7 linked regions of the Callithrix jacchus genome follow. The protein of the gene in region 3 purifies or fractionates together with the protein of the main gene of each other region. This does not show direct contact. Links are inferred from orthologs where the notes say so. Each region holds a gene or a part of one and is shown on either strand. Other genes may lie near its edges. The genes, in order: CBX1, SIRT6, CHD4, NUMA1, EZH2, BCL11B and UBTF.

Region 1 (4,103 bases), on a different chromosome or scaffold from region 3:
ATGTGGCAGGCACTGATGAACAAGAGGTATGGCCCATTTTATGGGAGTCCATAAACTAGCAATTAGCCTTCTACTCCAAAAACTCTTTATGGAAAGAACCTATGAAGTGAAAATCTACCAAATCTAATGGAAAATCTCTTATACCACCGCAGATAGGATATTTTTTTGTTTGTTTGTTTTGAGACGGAGTTTCGCTCTTGTTACCCAGACTGGAGTGCAATGGCGCGATCTCGGCTCACCGCAACCTCTGCCTCCTGGGTTCAGGCAATTCTCCTGCCTCAGCCTCCTGAGTAGCTGGGATTACAGGGACGCGTCACCATGCCCAGCTAATTTTTTGTATTTTTAGTAGAGACGGGGTTTCACCATGTTGACCAGGATGATCTCGATCTCTTGACCTCGTGATCCACCCGCCTCAGCCTCCCAAAGTGCTGGGATTACAGGCTTGAGCCACCGTGCCCAGCCAGGATATTTTTTAAAAAGGGAGGTTTTGCTAGATAAACCACTAGAGTATGCCAAAATTTAAGGAATTCTTTTCAAATGGTGTGAACAACAAAAAGAAACATTTTCCTAGTCCTTAAAATGGGCACAAGAGTGATTGCTTCTTTTCTTTGGAGATATGGTTTATAAAATGCAGAAGACTAGGGTACCTTACTTGGTCTCCTTTAATATGGAAGCTATAAGCACTAGGCTTCTATTTACATTCAAAACTATTTCTTTTTTTTTTTTTTGAGACAGTCTCCCTCTGTTGCCAGGCTGGAGTGCAGTGGTGCCATCTCATCTCACTGTAACCTCTGCCTCAGGTTCGAGCTATTTTCCTGCCTCCGCCACCCGAAGAACTGAGACTACAGGTGTGTGCACACTACACCTGGCTAATTTTGGTATTGTTAGTCGACACGGGGTTTCACCATGTTGGCCAGGGTGGTCTCAAACTCCTGACATCAGGTGATCTGCCCACCTCAGCCTCTCAAAGTACTGGGATGACAGGCGTGAGCCACCATCCCCGGCCCCATTATTTACATTTTTAGTGAAAAATAATTTAGAATAACAGCAGCCATTGAAGAAAAATATTACCACAGGGAAAATCGTAAATGACTTCAGGTCCTCCGCTGCCCTGAAGCTTCATTAAGGTGCAACTGGTTTCAATACAAGGGATTTTCAATCTCACCACTTTCCTATAAAAGTCTGTAAGGCACCTAAGGAGGAACACCGGCATTAATTTCCCCATTGTATTCCTGAATCTATTCCAAAGCCTTGGACCTTTCACAATTTTTCCAAACTGCTGGTGTGATTCTTAACACAACTGAGAAGGCTACTTTACCCTAGGCTAGAGGTTCTAGTATAACAGATTATAGCTATCTTTTTGTAAATTCCACCTCAACTGACTTAAACCAACACAAGTCTAAATGTAACATCAATTCACGAAAAACCCTCATCTAAATAGTTGGAAAAGAGGTAAAATACTGCTCACTCTGTATTCAAAGTTTCCAAAAAGGAAAACCTGGCTAAAAAACAGAAGGGCCCACTAAACAAGTATTATCTCACAATCTCACATACTTGCTCTTCCTGTCTCCCAATTTCTCCTACCTTACACGATGTCATCACTACCTCACTCCATTCCTTAACTGTTAACTCACCTACGCATTTTACAATTTTATCACCTTTGTGAGACCAGTAACGATCCCAGACAAAAACTTATGGAACTAACTTTGAATCAAAGCAAGAGCTGCACTTGGACTTAACTCCCCAAAGGAATCATGGAGCAAAGGCAGTAGGAAACCTGGAAAAGTGAAGAAAGCGTATTCAATCCTTTCTTCACGTATTATTTTACAGCCTCCCCACTGAAAGGACCCATCAGGAAGCAAGGGCGGCCTGCTTTCCCCTTTTCCCTTACACACCTTACAGAAATATTCTCCGGATCTCCGCCCTACATATCCTAACAGCTCCTCCCCCTCCAGAGCCAGGCCCAGCAAACGCTTGCCCCTCCCCCTCCGTGCCCCCCTTCCCAATTTATTCCATCTCCTCCACCAATCGGCACACTTTGTGCGGCCCAGGGCCCTCTTTCCAATTAACTCCAAGTTACTCTTCCGTAGTCCTGCAAAGCCAGGTTTCTCTGGCAGCCCCGGCGGGACCCGGCGTCCTCCGATTACAGTTACAAACCTCGGGTCTCGCGGTCGTCAGCTCCTCCCCACACCTATCCAAGCCTCAAGCCTGTCCCCTTCCCAATCTTGTAAGGTGTTTTCTCTCCAGCCCTATCCCCAGACGCCCACCCAACCCAAGCAGCATTGTCCCGGACTACGCGGGCCCGGAAAAGCGGTCCCCAACTGCTCGGCCCACCCTGAAGAGCTTCAGTCTCTGGCTCAGGATTCGCGCCCCGCCCTCCCCATCCTTCTCGCAGCTGGCAACGACGCCTCAGCGCCAGGCGGAGAGCTCAGCGCGGGAAGTGGAAAAACAGGACGCTGGACCCGGGCGCGCTCCCCGCTCCCCGCCCCCAACCTCTGCCTCGAAAGCGCGGGCCCCCACGCAGGGCTCCCGCCGCCGCCGCCACCGTGCCCCCTCCCCCAGCTCTCCCGCCTCCAGCGGGCTCCTCACCTCAGAGCAGCGCCTAACAGCCGGAGAGGAATCGGTGCTGCGCTGCTGGCGCGTCGTGTCGGGTCGGCCGGGGGAGTGGCGCCCAGGAAGGCAGCAAGCCCGGTGGCCGCAATGGAGCACCTCACTGGAGCGGCGTACCGCAGGCCCAGGCCAAGGGCCCTCCCCTCAACCGAACAAAAGAGCCTCGCACTCTGCTCTGCCCGCCGCCCGCACCGCGCAGGCGCGGCGACCCGCCGCATGGCACCCTGGTCCGCGGGATCAGTCCAAGACTACAGGGCCCGAAGTGCCGCGCGCTGCGCACGCACAGTAGGCGAGGGTGGTAGGGACTTCGAGGTTTTAAACTGTAACGGCGGAGCGACTGCAGCGTTGAGCGTTGTAACCTAGAAAATTAGAACATAATTTTTTTTTTTTTGAGACGGAGTCTCGCTCTGTCCCCAGGCTGGAGTGCAGCGGCGCGATCTTGGCTCACTGCAACCTCCGCCTCCCAGGTTCAAGCAATTCTCCTGCCTCAGCTTCCCGAGTAGCTGGGACTACAGGCGCGCGCCACCACACCTAGCTAATTTTTGTATTTTTTAGTGGAGACGGGGTTTCACCATGTTGGCCAGGATGGTCTCGATCTCTTGACCTCGTGAGCCGCCCGCCTCGGCCTTCCAAAGTGCTGGGATTACAGGCATGAGCCACTGCACCCGACCAGGACATGTGATTTTTATAAATGAGCCCTTTGATGCTTGGCCCAAAAAATCAACCACTTCTGGACAGTTAGGTAATTCACATCCTTGAATTTTTTAATCTTATGTTCTTAACCAGAACTTTATTATATCTCCGCCTCCTCAAATTTCCAACCGTTTCTGTAGTCCTCAATCTCCGCCTCCTCAAATCTCTGCAAAACTCCTCTTAAGGCGGAGTGCGGGGGCTCAAGCCTATAATCCCAACATTTTGGGAGGCCGAGGTGTGTGGATCACCTGAGGTCAGGCGTTCAAGACCAGCCTCGCCAACATGGTGAAACCCCGTCTCCACTAAAAGTACAAAAATTAGCTGGGCATGGTGGTGCCACCTGTAATCCCAGCTACTTGGGAGGCTGAGGCAGGAGAATTGCTTGAACCCAGGAGGCGGAGGTGGCAGTGAGCTGAGATCGCACCATTGCACTCCAGCCTGGGCAACAAACAAAACTCCATCTAAAAAAAAAAACCTACTCAGTGTTAAGATTAATTCCCCTGGCTGGGTGCAGTGGCTCACGCCTGTAATCCCAGCACTTTGGGAGGACAACGTTGGTGGATCACCAGACCAGGAGTTCAGCCTGACCAAGATGGTGAAATCCTGTCTCTACTAAAAATACAAAAATTAGCTGGGCATGGTGGTGGGTGCCTGTAATCCCAGCTACTTGGTTGGCTGAGGCAGAGAATTGCTTGAACCCGGGAGGTGGAGGTTGCAGTGAACCGAGATCATGCCATTGCCCTCCAGCCTGGGTGGCAGAGTGACACTTTGTCTCAAAAAAAAAAAAAGAAAAAAGATTA
Region 2 (4,007 bases), on a different chromosome or scaffold from region 3:
CAGACTCCGTGGGGACCCCTGAAGGTGGCAGGCCGGGAGAGATGGAGGGGGAGAGGGGAACAGAAAAACAGACGGAGAGAGAGAAAATCAGGAGACAGAGAGAGAGGCAGGGAGGCAGAGAGAGGGAGTCGGAAAGAAATAGAGGGTAAATTTGGAAGAACAGGGAGAGGGAGACAGAATAAGACAGAGACAGAGATATAACGAGTTAAAGACAAAGTCAAGTTAGAATTGGAGACAGACAGAGAGAGGGAGAGACAGAGAGAGGGAGAGATGAATTCACACGAAGGCAAAAATGACTTATTCAGTTCAATCAACTTGGTTGCTGCTGCCCTGAGCCTGGCAGGGCACATGGACCCAAGCCCTGCCCTCCAGAAACCCTTGATCTTGGGGGAGACAGGTGGACACAGACCCTCTGGCCCCACGGGGTCAAGACTGGATCAGAGGAGGTACCTGGGCCTGGGGAAGGCCAGTGGAGGTGGTGGGGACGCTGGGGCATGTGGAAGGGTTTCCTGGAGGAGTCTGAGCGTCTCTTGAAGGGTGAGAGGGAATATCAGACAGAAGGGGTAAACAGACGCCGGGGTGCTGGGAAGAACCCATGAGTTTAGGAGAAAATGCAAGTGTTTGGGGGCTGTAGCAGGGGCAGGAGGAGCTGACGCTGGAGAGGTGATTCGGGGCTGGGCCAGGAACAAAGGGCTTGAGCTTCCAGCACCAGGAATTCAGAATTCTTCCTGCCTGGTAATGGGGAGCCACAGCAGGTTATGGAAGAGGAGGAGGAGGAAAAATTCACGCCTTGGAATTCTGATTTTTTTTTTTTCCAGCCAGGTGTGATCAGGCCAAGGGGGTGAGTGGAATGCTGGTTGTGATTTCAAGGGACACGTCCTAAAGGGAGGGAATATCAGCCCTCCCCAGTGTCCAGGACACATCCAGAAGGAAGGAAGGAAGATGGATGGGCCCTAATGCCTAGTTGTGTGGCTCACGGGGAAGGCCGTGGCAGGCTGGTGGGCCTTGCCCCGATGTCCCCTGCACACTCACTCACAGACCTGAAGTCGGGGATGCCAGAGGCGGTGCTGATGCCGGCCCCTGTGTGAAACACCACGTTGGAGGACTGCCAGACCAGCCTCGCCAGCTCCCACACCTTCCGCTCCAGCTCCTCTGGGGGGTCGAAGATCTGTAGGGGGAAGGAGCAGATGGAGGGGTCAGAACAGGTCCCGCAAGTGGCCAGGCCATACACGAGCCACAGACCGAGCTGTCCCTTTCTTGCCTGGGGCAGGAAATAGATTGGAAAAGGCAGCTTGTCCTCATGTGTGTCCTCTGCCTACAGACCTCCGTGGCTCCCACCTGCCTTGTTAAAGCCCTAGCCCTGCCCCCTCATGTTCTCTTCTGCTCCCTTCCCAGCGTCACTCACTCTGATCCAGCCACGCAGGGAGGCCTCCTCCCTCTTCCTCCATCACGCCAGGCACAGTCCTGCCTCAAGGCCTCCGCACAGGCTGTCCCCACACCCTTGAGTGCTCTTCCCCCAGATACCCACATGGATGCCTCCTTCACCTCCTGTAACTTGTGGGTCAGATGTCACCTCAGCGACAGTGACGCCTCCCTTGGCCACCTGGTTTCCATACAACCCCTAGTCAGTCTCCCTTATTAGAAAGAGGGGTTAACTTGTCTTGCTCCTGACTGTGGCCCCCTTACCTAGAAAGTGCCTGACCCACAGCAGGTGCTCCATCAATGTTGGTGGAAGAAAGTGACTAACAGGCCGGGCGCGGTGGCTCACGCCTGTAATCCCAGCACTTTGGGAGGCTGAGGTGGGCGGATCACGTGGTCAAGAGATCAAGACCATCCTGGCCATGGTGAAACCCCGTCTCTACTAAAAATACAAAAATTAGCCGGGCGTGGTGGCGCGTGCCTGTAATCCCAGCTACTTGGGAGGCTGAGGCAGGAGAATTGCTTGAACCCAGGAGGTGGAGGTTGCAATGAGCCGAGATCGCGCCATTGCACTCCAGCCTGGGTGACAAGAGGAAGACTCCGCCTCAAAATAAGTAGGTAAATAAATAAAGTGACTGACAGCAGCAATGAAGAGCGCGGCTTCTGGACAGACACACCGTCAGCGCTCACTAAATGCAAGACTCGGAATGCATGGGTCAGCCTTTATGGGACGGGGCCATCTTCACGCAGGCGACAGCCTCCGCAGAAAGGATGGGGATGGGGACCCAGAACTGAAGTGACTTCCCACCGGGCGCGGAGGGGACAGCCGACCCCTCCACTTCCCCTCCGAGTGGCTGGAGGGATCTTCCTGGCACATTCTGTCCAGGCCCCTCGCCAGGGCAAGACCCTTCTCCATCCCCCTCGGGAGAAGGTGCCAACTCCCCAGCCTGGCATTTGAGCCCCGCCCTGGCCCGGCTCTGGAAACCTCCCCGGCCTAATCGTTCTCCAGGTGCGTTTATTCCACCACCCTGCCCTTGCGCCTGCCGTCCCCTCCTCCTGGAACTACACACCCCCGCTCTCCCCGACCAGCCCCGGCCGGTGGCCACAGAGTTGGGCGTGTTCGCGTCCCCGGGTGCGCAGGGGTGTCACTTCCCGCCCCTTCCTCACTGGGAAGTCCCTCCCATTGTCTAGCCTCAGTGTCTCCTGATATTCCCACAATGCCCTGCTGCCGTCCGGACCCTCCCTGCCAACGGCGTTGGGAGCGACCCTCGGGATCCCCGGATGCGCTCACCTCGGGGAGGCCGCACTTGCCCTTGTCCGCATACGGCGACAGCCCCGCAGCGTAATTCACCGACATCCTCGCCGCGCCCACGGGAACAATAAAGTTTCCCTTGTTGAGGCCGCTTCCGCCGGAAGCGGGGCGCGGCGGGGAGGAAGGAGGAGCCGCGTTCCTGTTCCGCGAACCCTGCCTCCCTCGGCAAGGCGCATGCGCCGCGTGCTGACGCCGCAGGAGCCATGTTAACTGCTGTCGGAAGGAAACCCGATTTCTTGGCTGCAGGCATTCTCGGGGTTTGGGAAGGGGCTGCCCGATGACCCGAGCGGGAAATTGGGGCGGCCGCCTACGTGAGAGTCCTCCAGTCACCTCTAAAATGAGGGACGCAGGCTATCGATGCCCCCATAACCCCGTTTTACGTGTTAGTAAATTCCATAAGGACAGTGCCAGACAGCAGGGACCCCCTAGTCCAAGGGTCTTGAATGCCACCCTGAATTATCTGAATTTTTTTTTTTTTTTTGTAAGACAACCTCGCTTTGTCGCCCAGGCTGGAATGCAATGGCGCAGTCTCAGCTCTCTGCAACCTCCTCCCGGGTTCAAGCGTTTCTCCTGCCTCTGCCTTCCGAGGAGCTGGGATTACACACGCCCACCACCGCGCCCAGCTAATTTTTTTTTTTCTTTTTTCTGATTTTTGTGTTTTTTAGTAGAGATGGGGTTTCACCATGTTGCCCAGGCTGGTCTCGAACCCCTCACCTCAGGTGATCCACCCGCCTCGGCCTCCCAAAGTGTTGGGATTACAGGCGTCAGCCACCGCGCCGGGCCAGGTTATCTGAATATCATACAAGTGGAGGCTCTGAATTTTGCAGGACACTTCCTGCTCGTGGTCACTGGGGCTGGTGGCCTGGAGGGCTTATTTAAGAATCATGTGTTGAGCACCTACTGTGCACTGGGCACACTGGGGAACAAAGATGGTACCGTCCCTGCCCTGGTGGCTGGGGGTGGACACAAAGATGTGATCAGGTAATGGTGACATGGTGTGGTTGCGGTGCAATGGGGGATGCAGAGGGCACAGGGCAGCGAGGGGGCTCACAGGAGGCACCTGACCCAGCTTGGGGGCATCCAGGAGGGCTTCCTGGAGGAGGGGATGTTGCAGCAAAGATCTAAAGAGTGCATGAGTCAGGTAGAGCCGGTTGGGAGTGACTTGAAATATAGAAAGAATGTTCCCAGTGGGGGAAACAGCAAGTGCAAAGGCTGAGGAGACAGGAAGAGCGTGGCTCCTTCCAGAATCTGAAATCAGTCCAGTGATGATAGGGAA
Region 3 (3,500 bases):
CTTGGAACCAAAACCTCCCAACTTGATTTTCAGGGGAGCTACTTTCTTGGGTTTAGGCTTCTTGGCATCAGGTACACGAGGGCTGCCCTTGGGCTTCCTCCGAGCATTGGGACCTAAAATCAGGATACATCCAAATATATACCACAAGACCAAAAACGGGGAAAATAAAATCTTCTCCACCTAAGCTTACTTCCCAACAACCAAATTCCCAAATTTTCCCTCCTAAATCCAAGACTCATTCCTCCCTCCTATCTCTATCTCCTACTTTAGGGCGAACAGAACAGCATTCCCATGCTGTCTTTGACACCCTAGACCCACATTAGACCCCCCCCCCGGTTCCCATTTGAACCCCCATTTCACCTTTGCCCTCCTTGGTCTTGGCCTTGCGGATAGGGACCTCCACAGGGGGAGGTGGTGGTGCAACCTCAGTGGCTGTCACCATGCTCTCCACCACAGCCACCGCTGCTGCTGCTGCTGCTGCCACTGATGCCCCAGAACTGCCTTTGAAGGGATTATTGGTACTGAACTCCCGCCATTTTGCACCCAAAACCATCATCATCTTGGAGACAGCAATCTTGGGATTTTTGGCAGCAATGAGGGGTCTAGTGGAGCAATGGACAAGAACAGAGGGAAATGTGTAAGAATAAAAGAAAGTGAAGTAAGAAGAGATAATAGAAAGACTCTCCTCCCCCTTCCCCAAGCCCCTCCTGTTTTACCTGACAAACTGGCTGAAGGCCTTGTAGTTGGTGAGGGTTCGATAGTCCTCCTCTGAGAACACGTGGTCAATGTCTTCCATGCCCCAGTCTTCCAGGAGCTGAGCAGATGATTTAGGCTCCTGCAGAAAGAGAGAAGTCAAGGACCTGCCACCTAATCTCCACACTTGCTAAGCAAATTTGTGTTGAAAGACCAAAGTAACAGAATTAAGAGGAAAAAAAGAGAAAGTGTTCTAAAGGGCAGTAGAGTGTCTAGGAAACAAAAGGACAATAGCTAACAACACAAAGAGGGGGATGGAGATCCAGGCACCTTTGAATCATCGTCGTCGTCATCCTCCTCCTCCTCCTCCTTCCGCTTGGATTTGCTCTTCTTCTCTTTCTTAGGTCCAAGCTTCTTTTTCTTCTTCTTACCAGGGGTATAGTCGCTACCCTCACTGTCTGAGCGCAGAGCCACCTCTTCCTCCTCCTCCACAAACTCTGGCCCCTCCCCAGAGCTGTCCCCCAGCTGCCGGCATAAGAGCATACGCTGGAGCAGGGAAAGGGGGGGGAGAGGGAGACAGACACACACATGCTACACACATGCTGACCTCAGGACAGCCCTGAGGCTCATCCCCAGAACCTGGCCCACCACTCCTGAGAAAGACACAAATGTCCTCAGCCCTTCAACCCTTCTCAGAGCTCCTCCCTTCTTCCTCTCATTCCCCATAACATTCAATCACCCACACACCTCCTTTTTTTGGCGCTTGCTCTTAGGGATTTTAGGGTCCCGAGGTTTCTTAGGCTTTTTCTTCTTCTTGAGCTTTGGAGTCTCTGTTTCTGACAAATCCTCTTCTGGGTCCTCTTCATTTTCTACATATATTAGGCAAAGAGTGGCAGGCAGGGAAAAGATCAATAGCAAAAGGTTAGGGCCTAATCCAGAGACTTCAGACTTTATTCCCCACCTCTTGTCCCAGATTCCTCTGAAGAGAACTGCTATACTCTTTAGAGAAGGAAGCTGATACCCAGGACAAAAACAGACAAAGAGAGAGCTGTATATACCCGAAATAGGCCTGCCAGGCCAGACCAGGCCCACCTCGGGCAGCTGTCCAGACCCCTGCCTCCTCTCTCCCGTGCCTACCAGCAGTCTTCTAGGTATTTACCAGTACAGCTTAATCAAGCTGCTTAGACTTCACCAACTAAGAGAACTAGGTTTAGGCCTTCTGTAACTGGCCATCAACTATTCAACAAACCAGGGAATGAGAATGAAAGGTCCTATTCAGAAGACAGAAACTATAGAAGATACCCTCACCACATTCCCACAACAGGATCAGTTCAGGGGTCTGGGAAACCACACCCTTCTCTGACCACTTTGAAGTCATCACTGCTCAAATTAACCAGAACCTCCAAGTCCTAGGTTCAGTTGCCAGCCCAATCCATCCCCACTCCTAAAATACAATTGCCTTTCCCCATCTCCAACCCTAATGTTCCTCCTCAGCTTCTCCTGGGTCAGCAGCCTCTTCTCCCTAGGGGCCCAAATCAGCCCAGCTGTCACCATCTCCCCCTGCGCCAACCCCCAGCAATCCTCCTCCCATCTGGCTCCACCTCCTCCCCTGGCTGGAAGCACACACAAAGCCGGGGGTAATACTGAAAGCTCCAGGGCAAGGAAAGGTGGGAAGGGGCACAGAAGGGAAAGAGAAGGCCAGGAGGCAGCTTCCTTTGTAACAGACATTCACACCAGCTCTGACTCCTTCCTCCCTCCTCTCTCTCCCTCTTCCCAAGCCACCCCCGCCTAAAGTGGGGGTGGGAGGAGTAGAGAAAGGAGTGGAGAGAAGAAGGGAGTGCCTCACCCACTGAGGAGAGGGAAAATGGCTCCTGACCGCAGAAGCCAGCCCAGGGCACCCAGCTGCCAACATAGGACAGACAGGAAGTGGCAGGGGAGGGGGCGGGGTTGAGAAAGGTAGCGGAGAAAGACTGCCCTCATAGAAGCCTCCCCAATTACCTGGCCGCAGGTCTAAATACCACCTACTCTGGGATGACACAGTTCACAAGAGGCCCCTCTAAAGTCCTAACCAAGGAAAGCAAGACAAACATGAAAGTAATACCATGAGAGGAACTCAATTACTCCCTCCATCATAATTATTTTTTCAATCATCAGAGCTGAGATTTAACAAAGGCTCAGTGAACCTGTGGTCAGAGCATATAACCTCCTCCCCAAATTTCTGATACCCAAAAGATTTAGTTTGCGTAATGGAGGCCCACAAGAAGTCTCTGAAGCTCAGCTTCCTCACTAACCCCACCCAGAGTCCTATCCAACATATGGGAATATCTGCACAAAAAGGCGCAGGACCTAGAGAGTAATAGAAAATAATATCCCAGCCAGGCACAGTGGCTTATGCCTGTAATCCCAGCATTTTGGGAGGATGAGGCGGGTGGATCATTTGAGGTCAGGAGTTCGAAACCAGACTGGCCAACATAGTGAAACCCCGTCTCTAGTAAAAATACAAAAATTAGTTTGACAATGGTGGTGGGTGCCTATAATCCCAGCTACTCAGGAGGCTAAGGCAGGAGAATCGCTTGAGGCTGAGACGTGGAGGTTGCAGTGAGCCAAGATCGAGCCACTGCACTCTAACCTGGGTGACAGAGTGAGACTCCGTCTCAAAAATGTATATATCTATCTCTATATCTATATATATCCCTCCTTCAATCCCTGACATGCTCTTAACTCTTGACCAGCCAGAATTAGCCCTAAAATGTCTCTGGCTCCCCACTTCCTGAGCTAGATAGATACTATGGAATCTGAGACATTAG
Region 4 (3,978 bases), on a different chromosome or scaffold from region 3:
AAGCGCTGGATAAGTTACTTATTGTAATAGATCTGTGAGGACTAAAAAGAATATAACTAACTAGAGCTTTGAGAAGCGGACCATGGAGAAGGTGTGGGGATAAAAGGGAATCTGGGAACAGTGTGGGAGGATCCTGCCAATTGAGAAGAGGTTTTACTGTTTGGGGGAGGAAGGAAAGAGGCACTTCACGCCCCAGGAAGTTTCCTACATCTCCAGAGTTAGGGTAGGGACTGCGGATTTACTCTATCTAATGCTAATCGCATGTTTTGGAAGAGGGTTCAAATTCTTCAGAGGAAAACATGTTTTGGAAGAGGGTTCAAATTCTTCAGAGGAAAACAAATCCCATTTCTGAGGGCGTTTCCGATCTCCCAGGTTGGGCCTGGGACTTGAAGCATCTGATTTGGGGAGCCTTATGTTTGTGTTGGGGGCGGAGGTTCGTTGTTTTGTTTTGTTTTGTTTGAGATGGGGGTATTGCTCTGTAGCCCAGGCTGGAGTGTAGTGGTGCAATCACGGCTCACTGGCAGCCTCAATTTCTGTGCTCAAGCGATCCTCCTACCTCAGCCTCTCTAGTAGCTGGGGCCACAGGAGCACGCCACCAAGCCCAGCTAATATTTTGTATTTTTGGTAGAGACGGGGTTTCGCCATGTTTTTAAGGCTGGTCTCGAACTTCTGGCCTTAAGCGATCCGCCAGTTTTGGTCTCCCAAACTGTTGGGATTACAGGCGTGAGCCACCGCGCCCGGCCCTGGGGGAAGTTCTTAAACACTCCCAAATCTGTATGGGTTTGTATCTCAATGCTTTTCCCTCCCTCTGCCCCCACAGTTTGTCCCATGTGGGTGTTGTGTCTTGCCCACTGTGAAAGGGAATGAGGGGAGGTGGGGGAAATCTCAGATCCCCCAGCAGGGAAGTTCTTAGTCGTTCTGTGGGTGCCCCTCCCTTCTCCATAGATCTCTTGTCCCCTAGAATGAGTTTCCTGTATTCCCGCCTGACTCACCCGCAGTTGCTTCCTCTCCAGTCTCGGAGTCCCTCAGGGTTACTCAGGGCAACTCCATAGCAACTACTTTTGTCGCCACTATCCCGCAGGCGCCGTAAGAACTGACGCTATGCTTACCGGGACCTGTAGTTTGTCAGAGGCGGAGCTTCAAGGCCGCGGGTGGCGCTGGGATTTGTAGTTTTCTTTGCTTTCAAATCCAGGCCGGGGTCCGGAAGCGGTGATACCCCTTCTCTTTCCCAGTGGCCCTCAAACTTCCTTTCCCCGGGTCTTCAAGCGTGCCCCGCGTAAGACAACTGCCGACAGAGGCCAATCAGAGGGCAGCACGAGGGGGCGGAGCCATAGTTTAAACTAATTGTGCGCTCACAGCGCTGGCCAGAGCCCGGGATAAGGTACGATTAGTGGGAATCGCAAGGCGGAGCGGGAGCGTGCAGCCAGGTAACCGGCGCGGGCCCGCGTCTGGCATGCGGCCTGCGCACCGGGGTGCTGGAGAGGCCGGTGTGAGCGGAAGGCCTCCTCCGTAACCGAGTCCGAAAGGGCACAATTTGGGGGTAAGGTTTGTTAGGAGAGCCGCCTGTCTGAGGGGGAGGAGCCGGGGGGGGTGCCATAAAGGGGAGGGTCTGTTTGGGGGCGTGTCTGTGAAATTAAGTCTGAGGGCGACGGGGGTCGGGGTTTGGGGGTAGGGTAGTGCCTGAAAGGCTTGTAAGCGAGGGGTCGGGTCCTGGAAAGTCTTCAGCGTTTATCGTTATCAATAGCAGTAGTTATGGTAGTGCAGTAGTCAGCATTTTTCTGAGCTACACTGTCCACAATGACCTCCCAATGGTTTTTCAATCCTCTAAGCACCTGTTATACTTTAAAGATGGGGAGGCCGAGGTTTTTAATGTTTAGCTTGGCCAGGGTTACGTAGCCAATGCGAGGTTGGCTCTACTTGGGGTTTTGCCAGTTGGGCATAAATGAAGACGGGGAAGGTGCTTTGTGGGGGTGCGCATTGTCTTGGGCTGGTCGGTGTATTTTGAGCCTCACTTTTCATATATGTAAACTTACCTACTTCCTGGGGTAGTTATCCTGGTCAAAAGAGGTAGGTCTTTTTATTTTTTATTTTATGGGCTTGTTTTGTTTTGGTATTTTGTTTTATTCACAGATAACATGTTTCATACACTCACCTCGGAGGGTACAAATTTATGATTATAAGTGATGTGACTGTGTGAAGATTGTGGGTTGATGCTCCCGCCTCTGGGTACTCTCTTTTGCTTACCTCTGAGTTAGCACTTGTCATCTGGTATTTTAAGAGTCTCTGCGTGTTTGTCTGCCCTTCTAGATAATGAGAGACTTTTTCGTCACTGTATCCTAATGGCTAAGGCAGGATTTGCGACATGTAATGGGCATTAATGTTTGCTTTGGAATAATGTGTTTTCCTGGACTGAAAGGGCACAGGAACTTTGCTTTCCCATTTTCTTTTTTTTTTTTTGAGACGGAGTTTCGCTAGGCTGGAGTGCAATGGCGCAATCTCGGCTCACTGCAACCTCCGCCTCCTGGGTTCAGGCAATTCTCCTGCCTCAGCCTCCGGAGTAGCTGGGATTACAGGCACGCGCCACCACGCCCAGCTAATTTTTGTATTTTTAGTAGAGACAATGTTTCACCATGTTGACCAGGATGGTCTCGATCTCTTGACCTCGTGATCCACCCGCCTCGGCCTCCCAAAGTGCTGGGATTACAGGCGTGAGCCACGGCGCCCGGCCCCCATTTTCATTTAGTGGCATTTGAACCTAAGTATTAAGCTGTCCTCTTTCCTGGAATGTCACTCCCTCTTGAAAACGTGATGATATTTTCTTGCCTTAATACATACCTCCCTCTCTCTAGTATCTGTTCGCTGGTTCTATGTTTCCAAACTTCTGGGTTGTCTGGTCGTTAAAGCTTTAATAGTAAGGGAGTTGGGCCTGTCTACTTTGTGGAGATCTTTACTGCTGTGAATATATGGGAACCGGGGGTGAGCATGAAAATCATGTAAAGGAGCTTTCAGTCAGCACGGATGGGTGTATGTTTCCTCTCTCCCTCTGCTTCTGTGTGGTATTTTCTCTTTTAGAAGAAGCACACACGTTGTGAAAGCTTCCGAAGTACTCTTTTCTTGGCCTAAGTTCAAGCAGTGATGACTAATTGTAATGCCTAATCTTAGTTCAAAGCAAAAAACTGTGCACCCCAAAAGCTTAAAGATCTTACCTGAAAGCTCATTAGGGAACATAGAATTCTTTTTTACATGTGGAATATGGAAGCGGGAAGAATGCCTTGAAATAAGACTTGAATTCTCGAACTGTTAGGATGAGGGCAAAGCCCTCCTTAGGTGGCTAAACAGAGCTGATCAGGGGCTGTTTGGACAGCTGTGTCTAATTGATAAAATTATGATCAGAAGATATAGGTTGGTGCAAAAGTAATTGCTGTTATTGCCATTGAAAGGGTGTGGTCATTTAATTCAGCCTCTAACCCACTAAACGTATGAAAAGGTGTTGCCCAGACTCAAAATGAGGACTTTCTAGAATGAGACCATTCCCAAAGTCAATCCATCTCGATGTTGAGCAATTCTATAATTACTACTTGTGCTCGCCTCGGCAGCACATATACTAAAATTGGAATGATACGGAGAAGTTAGCATGGCGCCTGCGAAAGGATAACACGCAAATTCGTGAAGCATTCCATATTTTTTTATTAAAAAAATAATTATTATTATTACTTTGTATCTGGGCATGGTGGCTGGCTATGTCATCCCATCTACTCTGGAGGCTGAGGCAGGAGGAGCAGGCGGAAGGATTGCTTGAGGCCAGGAGTTCCTGGCTAGCTTGGGCAATATAGTGAGACTCCATCTCAATTAAAATGTGTGTTGTTTTACATTGTTAGTGATTATTTTGTTTCACCCATATATGTCTACTGTTTGTCCAGTTTTCCTTGCATTTTATTCCTTCCTTTCTTATTATAGATACATACATCCTTCACATGT
Region 5 (2,308 bases), on a different chromosome or scaffold from region 3:
TGGATGGTGCTGGGTGCGGTGGCTCACTCCTTCAATCCTAGAACTTTGGGAGGTTGAGGCAGGTGGATTGCTTGAGCTCAGGAGTTGGAGACCAGCATGGGCAACATGGTGAGACCCCATTGCTACAAAAAAATGCAAAAATTAGCTGGGTAGGGTGGTGCATACCTGTAGTCTCAGCCACTTGGAAGCTGAGGCAGGAGGATCACTTGAGCCTGGGAGGTTGAGGCTGCAGTGAGCCATATTTGTGTCATTGCATTCCATCCTGGGTGACAAAGTAAGACCCTGTCTCAAAGGGAAAAAAAATAACTGGATTGCTTTGATTCTAGCCAAATACAGCTTTTCTCATTGAGGGACAACAGGGAGAACAAGAGCTTTATCATAGTGTCCTGCTTAATCCACAACCTAGTTGATAAGGACCTAGAAACAACAGTGTCATTAGTTACTCACCTTTTAAATTGTTGCGTTAAAGAAAAATCATAGGGCTAGCTTCAGTTTGGAACCAACTCACCCAATTTTTGTGTTTCACCCCCTGGCCTTTGTTTTTGAGGTGAAGCTCTTACTGCCCAGGCTAGAGTGCAGTGGCATGATCTCTTCTCACTGCAACCTCTGCCTCCATCTCCACGGTTCAAGCGATTCTGCCTCAGTTTCCCCAAGTAGCTGAGATTATAGGCATGCACACCACATGGCTAATTTCATATTTTTAGTAGAGATGGGGTTTCTCCATGTTGGACAGGCTGGTCTTGAACTCCCGACCTCAAGTGATCCACTTGCCTCTGCCTCCCAAAGTGCTGGAATTACACGCATGAGCCAAACTCTGTGTGTGTGTGTGTGTGTGTGTGTGTGTGTGTGTGTGTGTGTGTGTAACTCAGCAAAAAGACTTTTGTTTCTTACTTTCTCCAAGGATAATTACTTTGGGATGTGGAAATATTTCTGAGTTGAGGGTCCAGTGTGCAGACTGAATGGGAAAGAGAACTTGGCAGTAGTGACCCTTTTTGTTGAATATTCTCCAGAAGGTCCAGTATTCACTCTGTGAACTTTTGTGTGTTCTGTCAGGCTTGATCACCTTTATCCAAAAGAATTTTCTCCTGTGTCTTTCTCTTTAGATTATTTCTCAAGATGAAGCTGACAGAAGAGGGAAAGTGTATGATAAATACATGTGCAGCTTTCTGTTCAACTTGAACAATGGTATGTTTTTGAGCTGGGAGGCAGTGAGTTCCTCTGAATTGCATGTGGCAGCCTTTTGCTGCATGCAATTTCTGCTTCAGAAATGAAGGTAGAGGTCAGTGAGGTGACCGGAAGGAAGATCTCCACAAAGGCATTGGGGCTGCTTGCTGGAAAGGAACTGGAGCAAGGAATTCCTCAGGTAGCAAATACTAGGAAACCGCCTCTAGAGTCCCAGCCATCTGTGGATGGGGCTGCACCAGTCTCTGGCTGTGAAGGGGACATTGTGCTCTGTTGCTGCTCACCTCTTGTGTTCCAGAAGCTCAGCACACCTCCTCCAGTCAGTGCTTCTGACCAGGAGGGAGCACTGCATTTGAAAGCATCTTCCAGACTTCCCTGGATATTCTCAAAGGACTGAGAGGAAAGGCAGCTTCTTGCATAGCTGATATATGTTCTAGGGTAGAATGTAAGGCTATAGGGAGTGTTTTGGTGGGATTATATGAAAATGGAGGTAGGCTTAACATGTAAGATACTCAGAGAAACTGTTAGTTGGAAGTAGTAGGTTTTTTTCTAAGAATGCTTCATAGACATTAAAATTAATTTTAAATGTGAAAATGCCTATTCTTGAAATTTGGAAGAATTTAGATTCTGGTTTTTTGGCCATGTTTTGCTCAGTCAGATATGTTTATAGTTGATAAGTAATAGCTTTTGAATCAGATAACCATCTTGAATTACAGGTGATTAAATTTAACCTGGAACAATAAATAGTATGTTCTTCCAAATGTCATTTCTTACATAATGAAGTTGGTTGAATGGTTTATTTGTTTTTTGCAGGCAAACCCTAAAGAACTATAACCAGTTGCATTTACAGAATCATAATAACTTGATTGACTTAAAACTGAAATTCACTGGGTTGTGCATATTTTTTTTTTTTTTTAGATTTTGTGGTGGATGCAACCCGCAAGGGTAACAAAATTCGTTTTGCAAATCATTCGGTAAATCCAAACTGCTATGCAAAAGGTAGGTACCTTTGAAGTCAGAATTGGAGCTCCCTTTTCCATCCTGTGATGATGGACTTGAGTACTTCCGGGATACTTTGTTATGTGAACAAGTCGGTAACCACTCGTTGCTCTTCATGCTCACTAAC
Region 6 (4,021 bases), on a different chromosome or scaffold from region 3:
TAAATGCAACCAGAGAGTCTTCTTTGATGTTACAATGGCGAAAAATAAAAGAGAAGTCCTTTTCCCTCCCTCCAAAGAGGCATCCCTCTCCCAAGGCGAATCCCACTTTAATATCTATTCCCCCACAAAAATAATCAAAATAAATCCACAAATTCTTACTAATGTATCTGCTGTAACAAAGGAGAGATGGCAACAGCAATTGCTCCGAGCAGATGGCTCCTATGCTGGGTTTTCAGGGGAGGGGAGAACCCCTTTATATATTTATTTATTTATTTAAATTTTTTAAAATATAACATAAATATTCGGCTCTCGGCCGCCCCGCAGCCAGTCCTCGGCGGCAGCTGGGCGCGCAGCCCTCTCTAGCTCCGCGCGGGCAGTCCGGCCCCAGCCCCGCGAGGTGCGCTGCGGATTGCAGGCTTACAACCTGCCCGCGGTCTCGGTGGCGCCCAGAGGATGTTTTATTTCTATTGCAATTGAAAAAAAAAAAGAAAAAGGAACGGCGACCCGGGCACCGCGAGAGAAAGAACGCCGGGGAAATGTTCGCGCGCAGTGAGGAAGCGGCCCCGCGGGCTGCGGCGGGCGGGGAGCGCCGCGGAGCCACCTTCCCGGTGCAAGTGTGCGGGGACCCGGGGCGGGCTCCCCTGCAAACCCCGTACCTGGCCCGCTCGCGCTCGCTTTTTCCCTCGGCTAAATAAACCCAACAGGGACGGTGGAAGCTGCTGCTTCTCTTGCCCCGCCGCCTGACTTTGCCCGCCCCGCCACATGCTTGAAATCTACACGATTTCAGCGGGTGGATTTCCACTGCGACCTGCCTTGTTTATTTAGATAGGAAAGATGAAAGATACTGAGATAGAAAGATGGATATGAGATTGATGGGTCTCCTTTTTTTCTTCTTTTTTTTTTTCTTTTACTATTTTACAAGCGCATCACTGTCTTCCCACTCCTGACAACCTTTTTTTTTTTTTCTCGTGGAGGGATTTTTCACCAACCCCAATCCCCCCACCTTTTTTGGAGTGGGAGAAAGAAGACAAGATCATCCCAGGAGACAGACGGAGGTGGGGAAATGGGGGGTAGGGAGGGGGCTTGAGCCCGGCAAACAGCCGCGCAGCTGGATTATTTTGCAAATAGCAGGAGGAGGGGAGAGAAAGGCGGCGGCGGAATCCTAGGACCGGCGTGGCCGGCGCCTTGCTGGGCCGGGCGCGGCGACCGGGGACCCGGAGCCAGCGGCCGCCCCTTGCCCTCCAGCTCCCCCAGCCCGGAGCGCACCCCGCTCTCCTCCGCCCGCGCCATCAGCGCGGACCCACGCGCTCGCCAACTTTTCCCCACTTCCCGGCTCCCCCCTCCCCCTCGGCTCCCCCAACCCCCTCCCCCTCCTCTCCAAACCCCGCCACCAGCGCCGCCGCCGCCACACACGCCGCTCGGAGGGGCGAGCGTCCAGCCGGGCTCGGCGCGCACACACACTCCTCCAGCCTGCACGCCCCCTCCCCGGCCCGGAGCCGGCTCCGCAGGCCCGCAAGCCCGAGAAGCGTCCGGCTGCTCAGCGCCCCAACTCCCCGAGCTGCAAAGAAACTTTCCTTTGGCCCCCGCCCCCGCCATGCTCCAGGCCGACGTCGTGGCCTCTGCCAGCCCGCAGGCGGCCCCGGCGCCTGGCCCTACTCGGCTGCTCCGGGCTCCGTGTCCCCAGCCCTAGGCGCCCGGAGCCCCATCTCCGGCCCCTTGCGCGCACGCCGCAGACACTTACGGGTGATGAGCTCCCTCTGGGACAAGTGCTGCGGGTTGCCCTGTTTGCGGCGGGACATTGCCCCGGCATCTATTCTGGCATCGCCCGGAGAGCTGCACTGATGGGGGGAGCCGGGGGAGGGGGTCCGAGCCGCCGCCGCTGCCGCCGCGCCGCTGCTGCCGCCGCCGCCGCGCCTCCTCCTCTGCCCGGGTTGGTGTTTTTTTTCCCTTCCTCTCTTGCCCTCTCTTCCTCCTCTTCTTCTTTATTTTGCTCTTTCTTCTATGCTGTTTTTTGTTTTGTTTGCAAAAAGAAAAAAGAGGAGGAAAAGCAAGAAAAACCTCTCAATCTAAAATAAGAGAAAGAGGCAAAAAAAAAAAAAAAAAAACTGCTGTGGCTTTCCGCGGACTGGCTGGTTTCTTTAAAAATATATTCTTTCGAAGGAAAAAGAAATCTCTCACACTTCTTCCAACTGCTTGGCCTCTTGCACTTGCAAATGTCTTCTTGAACTTAAACTGGATTTTGCACCGGCTCCTGACACTTTCTTTCAGGTCTGGTAGGTGGAAAGCGCACTTCTACCAGGAGGGGAAAAGAAAAAATTCAAACAAATAAAATAAAAATAAAAAGAAGAAGAAGAAGAAGAAAAAGCAAAGAAAAAAAAAGCAAAGAAAACTTGGGGACTTGTCTCGTACCCCCTCACCCCGCCCCCTCAAAAAACCCAAAGCAATGTAAAACTGCCCCGGTTCGGTTGTTTCTGGGTTTTCTGCGGGCTGCCTGCCTTTTTTCTTTCTTTCTTTCTTTTTTTTTTTTTCTCGGAGACTGACCCTTCCGAGGCTCTGGGGGGACACCAAGAGCGGCTCCTTCCCAGTTCACCTGGCAGGCTGGCGCCGGCCGGAGGGGCTGCCGAGTCCCCGCGAGCGCTCCCCAGCGCTCCCCTGGCGCCGCGGGCCCGGGGGGAGCGGGGCGGAGGGGCGGCTCGCCCAGTGCGCCTGGGTCGGTGCGGGCGCGGACTGGGAGCTATAGATTGCAACGTGAAGATGGCGGAGTCCGGGTTCTCTGGGAGCTCTCGGTCTCTCTATGGCTGGGGCTGCCTCTGTACAATGGGATAAAATTCAAGTTCAAGTGCGGACGTGACGTTTAATCTGCACTAGAGACAAAAAGACCCAGAGAGTCGGAGCACTGGGGGCGACTAGCGGTGGCTTTTTAACATTGTACCCTGTAAGAGAACAAGAAAGCACAGAGACACACGCGCGCGCGCACACACTCACACATGTACACACACACACTCGCCGGTGCGCACACCCGCAGCCCAGGCAGGCCACACGTGCAAACCGCGTTTTTGTGCGTTCCTCATCTCCCCCGATCCCCGGCTGCGCTAAAGGGGGAGGGGGCGGGGGCCACTGGGCACCATATTTTTAAAGACAAGAAAAATCGTCCTTATATCCCCTCCCTCCTGGGAGCAGGACCCCCTGAGAAGAGGGGGAGGGCAGGGTGCCGTGTGAGTGAACTACATTGAATCAGTGCAAGTCTCCACCCAAAAGCTCTTTCGGACTTGGACTTTGGGGGTGGGGGTGTGGACTGCGGAAAAGGGTTGGGGTCGTCATGGCGGTGGGGGACATGAAGAATTGCTTCGTTTCCCTGGAAAAGTCGCTTGGTAGTTTTTACTTTTATTTTACGGTTGCGGGGGGCGGGTGGATGCTGAAGTTCAACTTCCAAAAAGTGTCTCCATGTAAATCCTGGTATTACAGACTCTGGGAGGGTGAGGAAGACAAACGACACCAAGAGGACAGAATCAACAGCACGTGAGGGGGGTGGGTGAGAAGTGTCTGAGACCTTGTTTGAGTCCCATTTGGAAAAGGATTTGCACCCGAATTTTTGCCCCCTCCCCTCCCCTCACCCTCATTGACTCCTACGGGCCCCACCTCCTATACCCGGTCTATGGCCAGCGAGAGGGTAAAGGGACCGCGGCGCCCCACGTGGGAGAGGGACTAGGACTTGCGGGCTCAGGAGTAGGTGTGGCCAGATCTCCGCAGATACTCGAGTGGGTGACTCCAGGAGGCGCCCCTGACAATCACAGTAACCTGGAAGTCGCACCCCGCCTCCCGCGCTCCTCGGCCCAGGGTAGGACTTGGAAATGCCTGTCAGACTGGGAAGGACGCAGCTGCCTTGTCAGCCGTTTGATCTCCAGCCGGCGAGGACAGGAGTTGTGGGGCCTGTCCGTGGCCCGCGGACAAGGCCACACCACGGCCCCCGTGGAGACTTCCCCCACCCCCCATTCCCCAGGCTGAAGCCAACTTCGTCCAT
Region 7 (4,020 bases), on a different chromosome or scaffold from region 3:
GCCCACGCGAGAGCCTGCTCCCAGCTCCCGCGTGCAGCAAGCGCCCGCCCTCCGCCCTCCTTCCCCAACCCTGGCCAAAAAAAACTCCTCCTCCTCTGAGCGCCCGCCCCGGGGAGGCCCCAGGCTGGAGGGCGGGGGAGGAGGAAGGGCGGGTAAAGGGCGCGCGCGACCACGGAAGCGGGCACGCGCCCCAGTCTCCTCCTCTCGCCTCCCCCCGGCCGGTTCCCCCCGCCTCCGCAACCCGGCGGGGACCCGGACGCAGCGCAGCCGCCGCCAGCCCCGGAGCGCAACGGCCGCACCGCCCCCGGGGACCGGATTCGGATTCCCACCGCTCCCCCCTCCCGGGCTCCCATCGCCTTCCCCGCCCGCTCAGGCGGGCGAGCAGCTGGAGAGAAGCGGCCTAGCCTGCCCCCCGCCCCGAGCCACCTACCCCGGCCAGAGGCGCCGCCGCCGCCCAGCCACCCCGACTCGCACGGAGGAGCCCGGCGCAGAGGCGCGACCGCGGCGGGAACCGCCGCCTCCTCCCCCGAGCCTGCGGCCCAGCCCCGCCGGCGCCCCCGCCCTGGCCTCCGGGGAGCCGAGCCAAGCAGAGGGCGGGAGGACGGCGGCCGGGAGGCGGGGGCGCAGCGCTCACCGGCCCCGCCGCCCCCTCCGGCGGCCGGGGAGAACTGCGCCTGCCGGCTCCGAGAAGCGCGGGCTCCTCCGCCAGCGGCCAGGTCTCGGCTCGGGCCACGCTTCCTGCCCTCCCCTCCCCCGGCTTTCGGCGTCCTCCCCAGTGCCCTGGTCTGCTCGCGCCCGGTCCCCTGCTCCGGTTCCCAGCCGGGCGCCCACCGCACCCTGCGGTTCGCTCCCTGCCGTCAGGCCCCGACCCTAGCGCGCGTCCTCAGCCGCCTCGGTTACCCGGCGCAGAGCGGCCTCCGGGCTTCCCGCTCCGGCGGCTCCCTCCCCGGCTCTGAGCGGCGGCGCCCTCCCCCGCTCGGCCGGGCACAGCCGCAGCTCCCTCCCGCGGCGGCAGCGGCTCCTCCTCCGGGCGAGGCGGCGGCGCTGGGGCGGCGGCTGCTGCTGCTGTGGCTGTGGCGGCGGCTGTGGCTGCTGCCTGCTGCTCCTCGCGGCGAAAAGCACAAAGCACAGCGCCCTCCGCCTGCAGGCAGCCCGCCCGCCGCCGGCCCCGGCCTCAGCTCGCACACCCCCCGCCGCCGCCGCAGCCTCAGCCGCCGGAGCGGGGAGGAGGAGGGAGAAGGGAGGAGGAGGAGCGGGAGGGGGGGCGGGAGAAGCGGGGCAGCGAGCGCGTCCTTCCCCGTAGAGCGCACACCGACCCCCGGGGAGCGAGCGCCAGCCCGCCCGCCTCGCCGGCTCCGCTCCCTCCCACAGCCTGCCCGGGCGGGCTCCGCGGGGGGCAGCTGGGAGGAGGGGCGGGAGCTGGGGGGACCCGGGCGGCCGAGGCGGAGGGAAGGAAGGAGGGGAGGGGGGTGGTGGTGGTGGTGGCGGCGGCGGCGGCGGCGGCTGCTGCTGCTGCCGCCGGGCGGGGGGGGGGGCCGGGGCAGGGAGACACGCAGCCGCCCGGATGGCGGCGGAGCTCGGAGCCGGGGCGGGCGGGCGCCGAGAGCGACCTCGCCAGACCCGCGGGGGAACTAACAGGCTCCTCCGGCACTAGAGGGAGGGCCGAGGTGCGGCGGCGGAGAGGGTGCCCAAAGGGGCCCCCGGCGGCTGGAGAGGCTCGGGGGGCGCCCACAGCTCTGCTCCGGAGCTCTCCCCCAAGTCCTCCCAGCTCAGACTAGGGCTTCCAGGCCAGCTTTTTCCCGCCTCCCGGAGCGAGCGGTCCGCGCACACCCTCATCCCCCAGAGCGTGGTCACTGGCTTGGGGCGCACGCACGCCGATCGCGGCGCCCGGCTTCAGTGCCTACCTTGCGGTCCTCACTGCCGAACGGCACATACGAAACTTAAAAAAAAAAAAAAACAAAAAACTAAAACCTCTGCATTAAAAAAAAAAAAAATCCCCATTGCTCTTTACACCCCGGAAACGGCGAAGGAACGACGGGCTTCGGCGGAGAAGCCGCTCTGGGAGCCGGTTCAATCCAGCCCGGCATGGCTCCCCAGGCCTGCCCGGGCGCATGGAGATCGGCGCCACCGCCACTCGTAGCGACCCCTCTCCCCCGAAATCCGCGGCGCCCGGGCTCACTTACCGAGCGTGTGGATGGGAGCGCGGGCTGGGGGCACCTGGGGGCGCGGCGGTCCGAATAGCCGAGCCGCAGCTCCGCTGCAGCCGACGCCGGGGCAGCAAGTCGCCAGACAAAGCCCGAGATGGCGAAGCGGAGCGACGGCTAATGGCGAGCCCCACGCGCCGCGCTCCGCCCGCCCCGCTCCGCCCGCCCGCCCGCCCGCCTCGGCGCAGCGCAGCGCCGCTCCAAGCGCTTGCCCGTCAGAGCCGCCTCGGCGCCGCCGCCTCCCGGGCCACGGCGGCCTCGCCTGGCCCCTCCGCCTCCTCCGGGCTGCTCAGCCTCACCCCTTCCCTCCCACTGCTCTAGGGGTTGCACAGAAAATTTTTTTTTTTTTTTTTTAAGAAAAATGCTTTTTTTCCTTTCCTTTTTTTTTTTTTTTTTTTTTTCTTTTTTGCAGGGCGGGCGTGTTGAGACTTTTGGATCTTTCTGCCCCCAGCTCGCACTCACCTGCGGAGCCGCCGGGAGGGCTAGTAGTGGGGGGCGCACGGAGCTGGAGCCGGCGAGCGCGGCTTGAAAGCCAGCCAAGCTCTGCAGCGCCCGACCCGGGCGTGTACGCCGCCGCCAGTCCCCGCAGAGAAATCGTCCTCCTACCCCCGCCTCCATCGCTCTGCGTTTCTCTTCCAATCAGCCGGTCGCTTGGTGGCTCCTCCATTCTCCGGCCAAGCCCAGCTGCCTAGAGCGAGCTCCACTCCTCCATCTGTTCGCCCGGCTCCTCGCTCCCCTGCCGGGGCTGGCGAGACGGCTTGAGGCCGGAGGGGGATTTGCGAGAAAACCTGCCTCCTTCCCGCTCCCATTGCTCCATCCCCGCTGCTTCCTGCCTCCTGCTTCTCTCTCCTGCGTCTTTCCAACTCTCTCCCATGTCGCCACTGGTGTGTGTCTGAGTGTGTGCGCGTTTTTTTTTTTTTTATTGCTCTTTGCTTTTGCAACCCAGAAGCAAAATGGGGCGGGGGGGGGAGTTACAGGAAAAAAAAAGCGAGAAAGAAGCTCTTAGATTTGCAACACATCGGAAAACCATGGGAGCACCCGGCCTTATCCGATCTCCGTGCTCCGCGAGGGCCTTCCGGGTTTTAGGACGAGCTTCTCAATGTTCCCCTCTTCGCTGGGTTTAGGATCCGAGGAGTCCGAGCAAAAAGTTCTCTCCTTAGCTCGTAGTGAGGGGTGTCAGGGTGGGAGTTTCGGGATTTTTCAAGAAGCAGCGGCTATCCTTGCTACCCCGGCATCGGCCACTGGGCCGGGGTGGGGGAAAGAGCAAAATCCCAGTGGGTTTGTGCGAGGAATCTTCTGGGGTTGGGGCGTGGAGTAGTCGGAACCGGGAGAGACACCGCTTCGCGAATCTCCCCCTCGGTCTCTACCTCCTGTCCTCTGCCAGCTCCCCCTTTAATTTTTTTCCTCTCCTTTAATCTAATTTCTTCCAACTCCACCTTTGTTGTTACCGGCGTCACGCCCCGACCAGCCAATCCCCGCCACGCAATCAGTTTGTCAAAAAGGTTCGGCCAGCCCTGGGAAAGCAGGCCGCAGGCGCTGCCCCCCGGCGGCGGCGGGCAGCCGCGAGGGGAGCTCGGCACCCCGGCCTCACTGCCCGGGCGGCAGCGGGGCAACCGCCACCGAGACTTCCCCCGGTTCACTATCCTGCAGGCGGGTGATGAAAAGCCTGGACGGGGTCCACCGCCCACCCTTGCACTGCCATGGCCGTGGTTGTCTGTCTTTGCCTCCCCTTCTCAGAGGAAAGGTTATCCGGACGCAGGGAGCCAGAAAGCCGTCTGAAGGAAGCCTGCTTCCAACAGGCCCAGCCTCCAGCCTG

Evidence for each region.
Region 1: the proteins of CHD4 (region 3) and CBX1 purify together in Homo sapiens (affinity purification with mass spectrometry; 7 studies listed by BioGRID and IntAct, with this or other methods). This does not show direct contact. The link is inferred for Callithrix jacchus from reciprocal best matches to the Homo sapiens genes CHD4 and CBX1.
Region 2: the proteins of CHD4 (region 3) and SIRT6 purify together in Homo sapiens (affinity purification with mass spectrometry; 3 studies listed by BioGRID, with this or other methods). This does not show direct contact. The link is inferred for Callithrix jacchus from reciprocal best matches to the Homo sapiens genes CHD4 and SIRT6.
Region 4: the proteins of CHD4 (region 3) and NUMA1 purify together in Homo sapiens (affinity purification with mass spectrometry; 3 studies listed by BioGRID and IntAct, with this or other methods). This does not show direct contact. The link is inferred for Callithrix jacchus from reciprocal best matches to the Homo sapiens genes CHD4 and NUMA1.
Region 5: the proteins of CHD4 (region 3) and EZH2 purify together in Homo sapiens (affinity purification with mass spectrometry; 5 studies listed by BioGRID, with this or other methods). This does not show direct contact. The link is inferred for Callithrix jacchus from reciprocal best matches to the Homo sapiens genes CHD4 and EZH2.
Region 6: the proteins of CHD4 (region 3) and BCL11B purify together in Homo sapiens (affinity purification with mass spectrometry; 4 studies listed by BioGRID and IntAct, with this or other methods). This does not show direct contact. The link is inferred for Callithrix jacchus from reciprocal best matches to the Homo sapiens genes CHD4 and BCL11B.
Region 7: the proteins of CHD4 (region 3) and UBTF purify together in Homo sapiens (affinity purification with mass spectrometry, with the first as the bait; 3 studies listed by BioGRID). This does not show direct contact. The link is inferred for Callithrix jacchus from reciprocal best matches to the Homo sapiens genes CHD4 and UBTF.

The regions. Positions count from the first base shown.
Region 1 is NC_133506.1:118,186,861-118,190,963, reverse strand, and holds the start of CBX1 (chromobox protein homolog 1), read right to left. Parts: upstream 2,801-4,103; 5' UTR 2,590-2,800; intron 1-2,589. UniProt on the Homo sapiens protein: Component of heterochromatin. Recognizes and binds histone H3 tails methylated at 'Lys-9', leading to epigenetic repression. Interaction with lamin B receptor (LBR) can contribute to the association of the heterochromatin with the inner nuclear membrane.
Region 2 is NC_133523.1:3,924,703-3,928,709, forward strand, and holds the start of SIRT6 (NAD-dependent protein deacylase sirtuin-6), read right to left. Parts: upstream 2,801-4,007; 5' UTR 2,777-2,800; coding exon 2,711-2,776; intron 2,567-2,710; exon of another isoform or gene 2,490-2,566; intron 1,862-2,489; exon of another isoform or gene 1,687-1,861; intron 1,169-1,686; coding exon 1,041-1,168; intron 19-1,040; coding exon 1-18. UniProt on the Homo sapiens protein: NAD-dependent protein deacetylase, deacylase and mono-ADP-ribosyltransferase that plays an essential role in DNA damage repair, telomere maintenance, metabolic homeostasis, inflammation, tumorigenesis and aging.
Region 3 is NC_133510.1:20,791,144-20,794,643, forward strand, and holds part of CHD4 (chromodomain-helicase-DNA-binding protein 4), read right to left. Parts: intron 1,563-3,500; coding exon 1,441-1,562; intron 1,240-1,440; coding exon 1,024-1,239; intron 836-1,023; coding exon 717-835; intron 603-716; coding exon 361-602; intron 114-360; coding exon 1-113. UniProt on the Homo sapiens protein: ATP-dependent chromatin-remodeling factor that binds and distorts nucleosomal DNA. Acts as a component of the histone deacetylase NuRD complex which participates in the remodeling of chromatin.
Region 4 is NC_133511.1:68,865,873-68,869,850, forward strand, and holds the start of NUMA1 (nuclear mitotic apparatus protein 1), read left to right. Parts: upstream 1-1,178; 5' UTR 1,179-1,381; exon of another isoform or gene 1,382-1,569; intron 1,570-1,930; exon of another isoform or gene 1,931-3,978. UniProt on the Homo sapiens protein: Microtubule (MT)-binding protein that plays a role in the formation and maintenance of the spindle poles and the alignement and the segregation of chromosomes during mitotic cell division.
Region 5 is NC_133512.1:98,909,661-98,911,968, forward strand, and holds part of EZH2 (histone-lysine N-methyltransferase EZH2), read left to right. Parts: intron 1-1,103; coding exon 1,104-1,185; intron 1,186-2,100; coding exon 2,101-2,181; intron 2,182-2,308. UniProt on the Homo sapiens protein: Polycomb group (PcG) protein. Catalytic subunit of the PRC2/EED-EZH2 complex, which methylates 'Lys-9' (H3K9me) and 'Lys-27' (H3K27me) of histone H3, leading to transcriptional repression of the affected target gene.
Region 6 is NC_133509.1:134,158,085-134,162,105, forward strand, and holds the start of BCL11B (B-cell lymphoma/leukemia 11B), read right to left. Parts: upstream 2,801-4,021; 5' UTR 1,800-2,800; coding exon 1,742-1,799; intron 1,295-1,741; exon of another isoform or gene 657-1,294; intron 227-656; exon of another isoform or gene 160-226; intron 1-159. UniProt on the Homo sapiens protein: Key regulator of both differentiation and survival of T-lymphocytes during thymocyte development in mammals.
Region 7 is NC_133506.1:71,070,974-71,074,993, forward strand, and holds the start of UBTF (nucleolar transcription factor 1), read right to left. Parts: upstream 2,801-4,020; 5' UTR 2,667-2,800; intron 2,299-2,666; exon of another isoform or gene 2,184-2,298; intron 1,940-2,183; 5' UTR 1,905-1,939; intron 955-1,904; exon of another isoform or gene 837-954; intron 572-836; exon of another isoform or gene 431-571; intron 1-430. UniProt on the Homo sapiens protein: Recognizes the ribosomal RNA gene promoter and activates transcription mediated by RNA polymerase I (Pol I) through cooperative interactions with the transcription factor SL1/TIF-IB complex.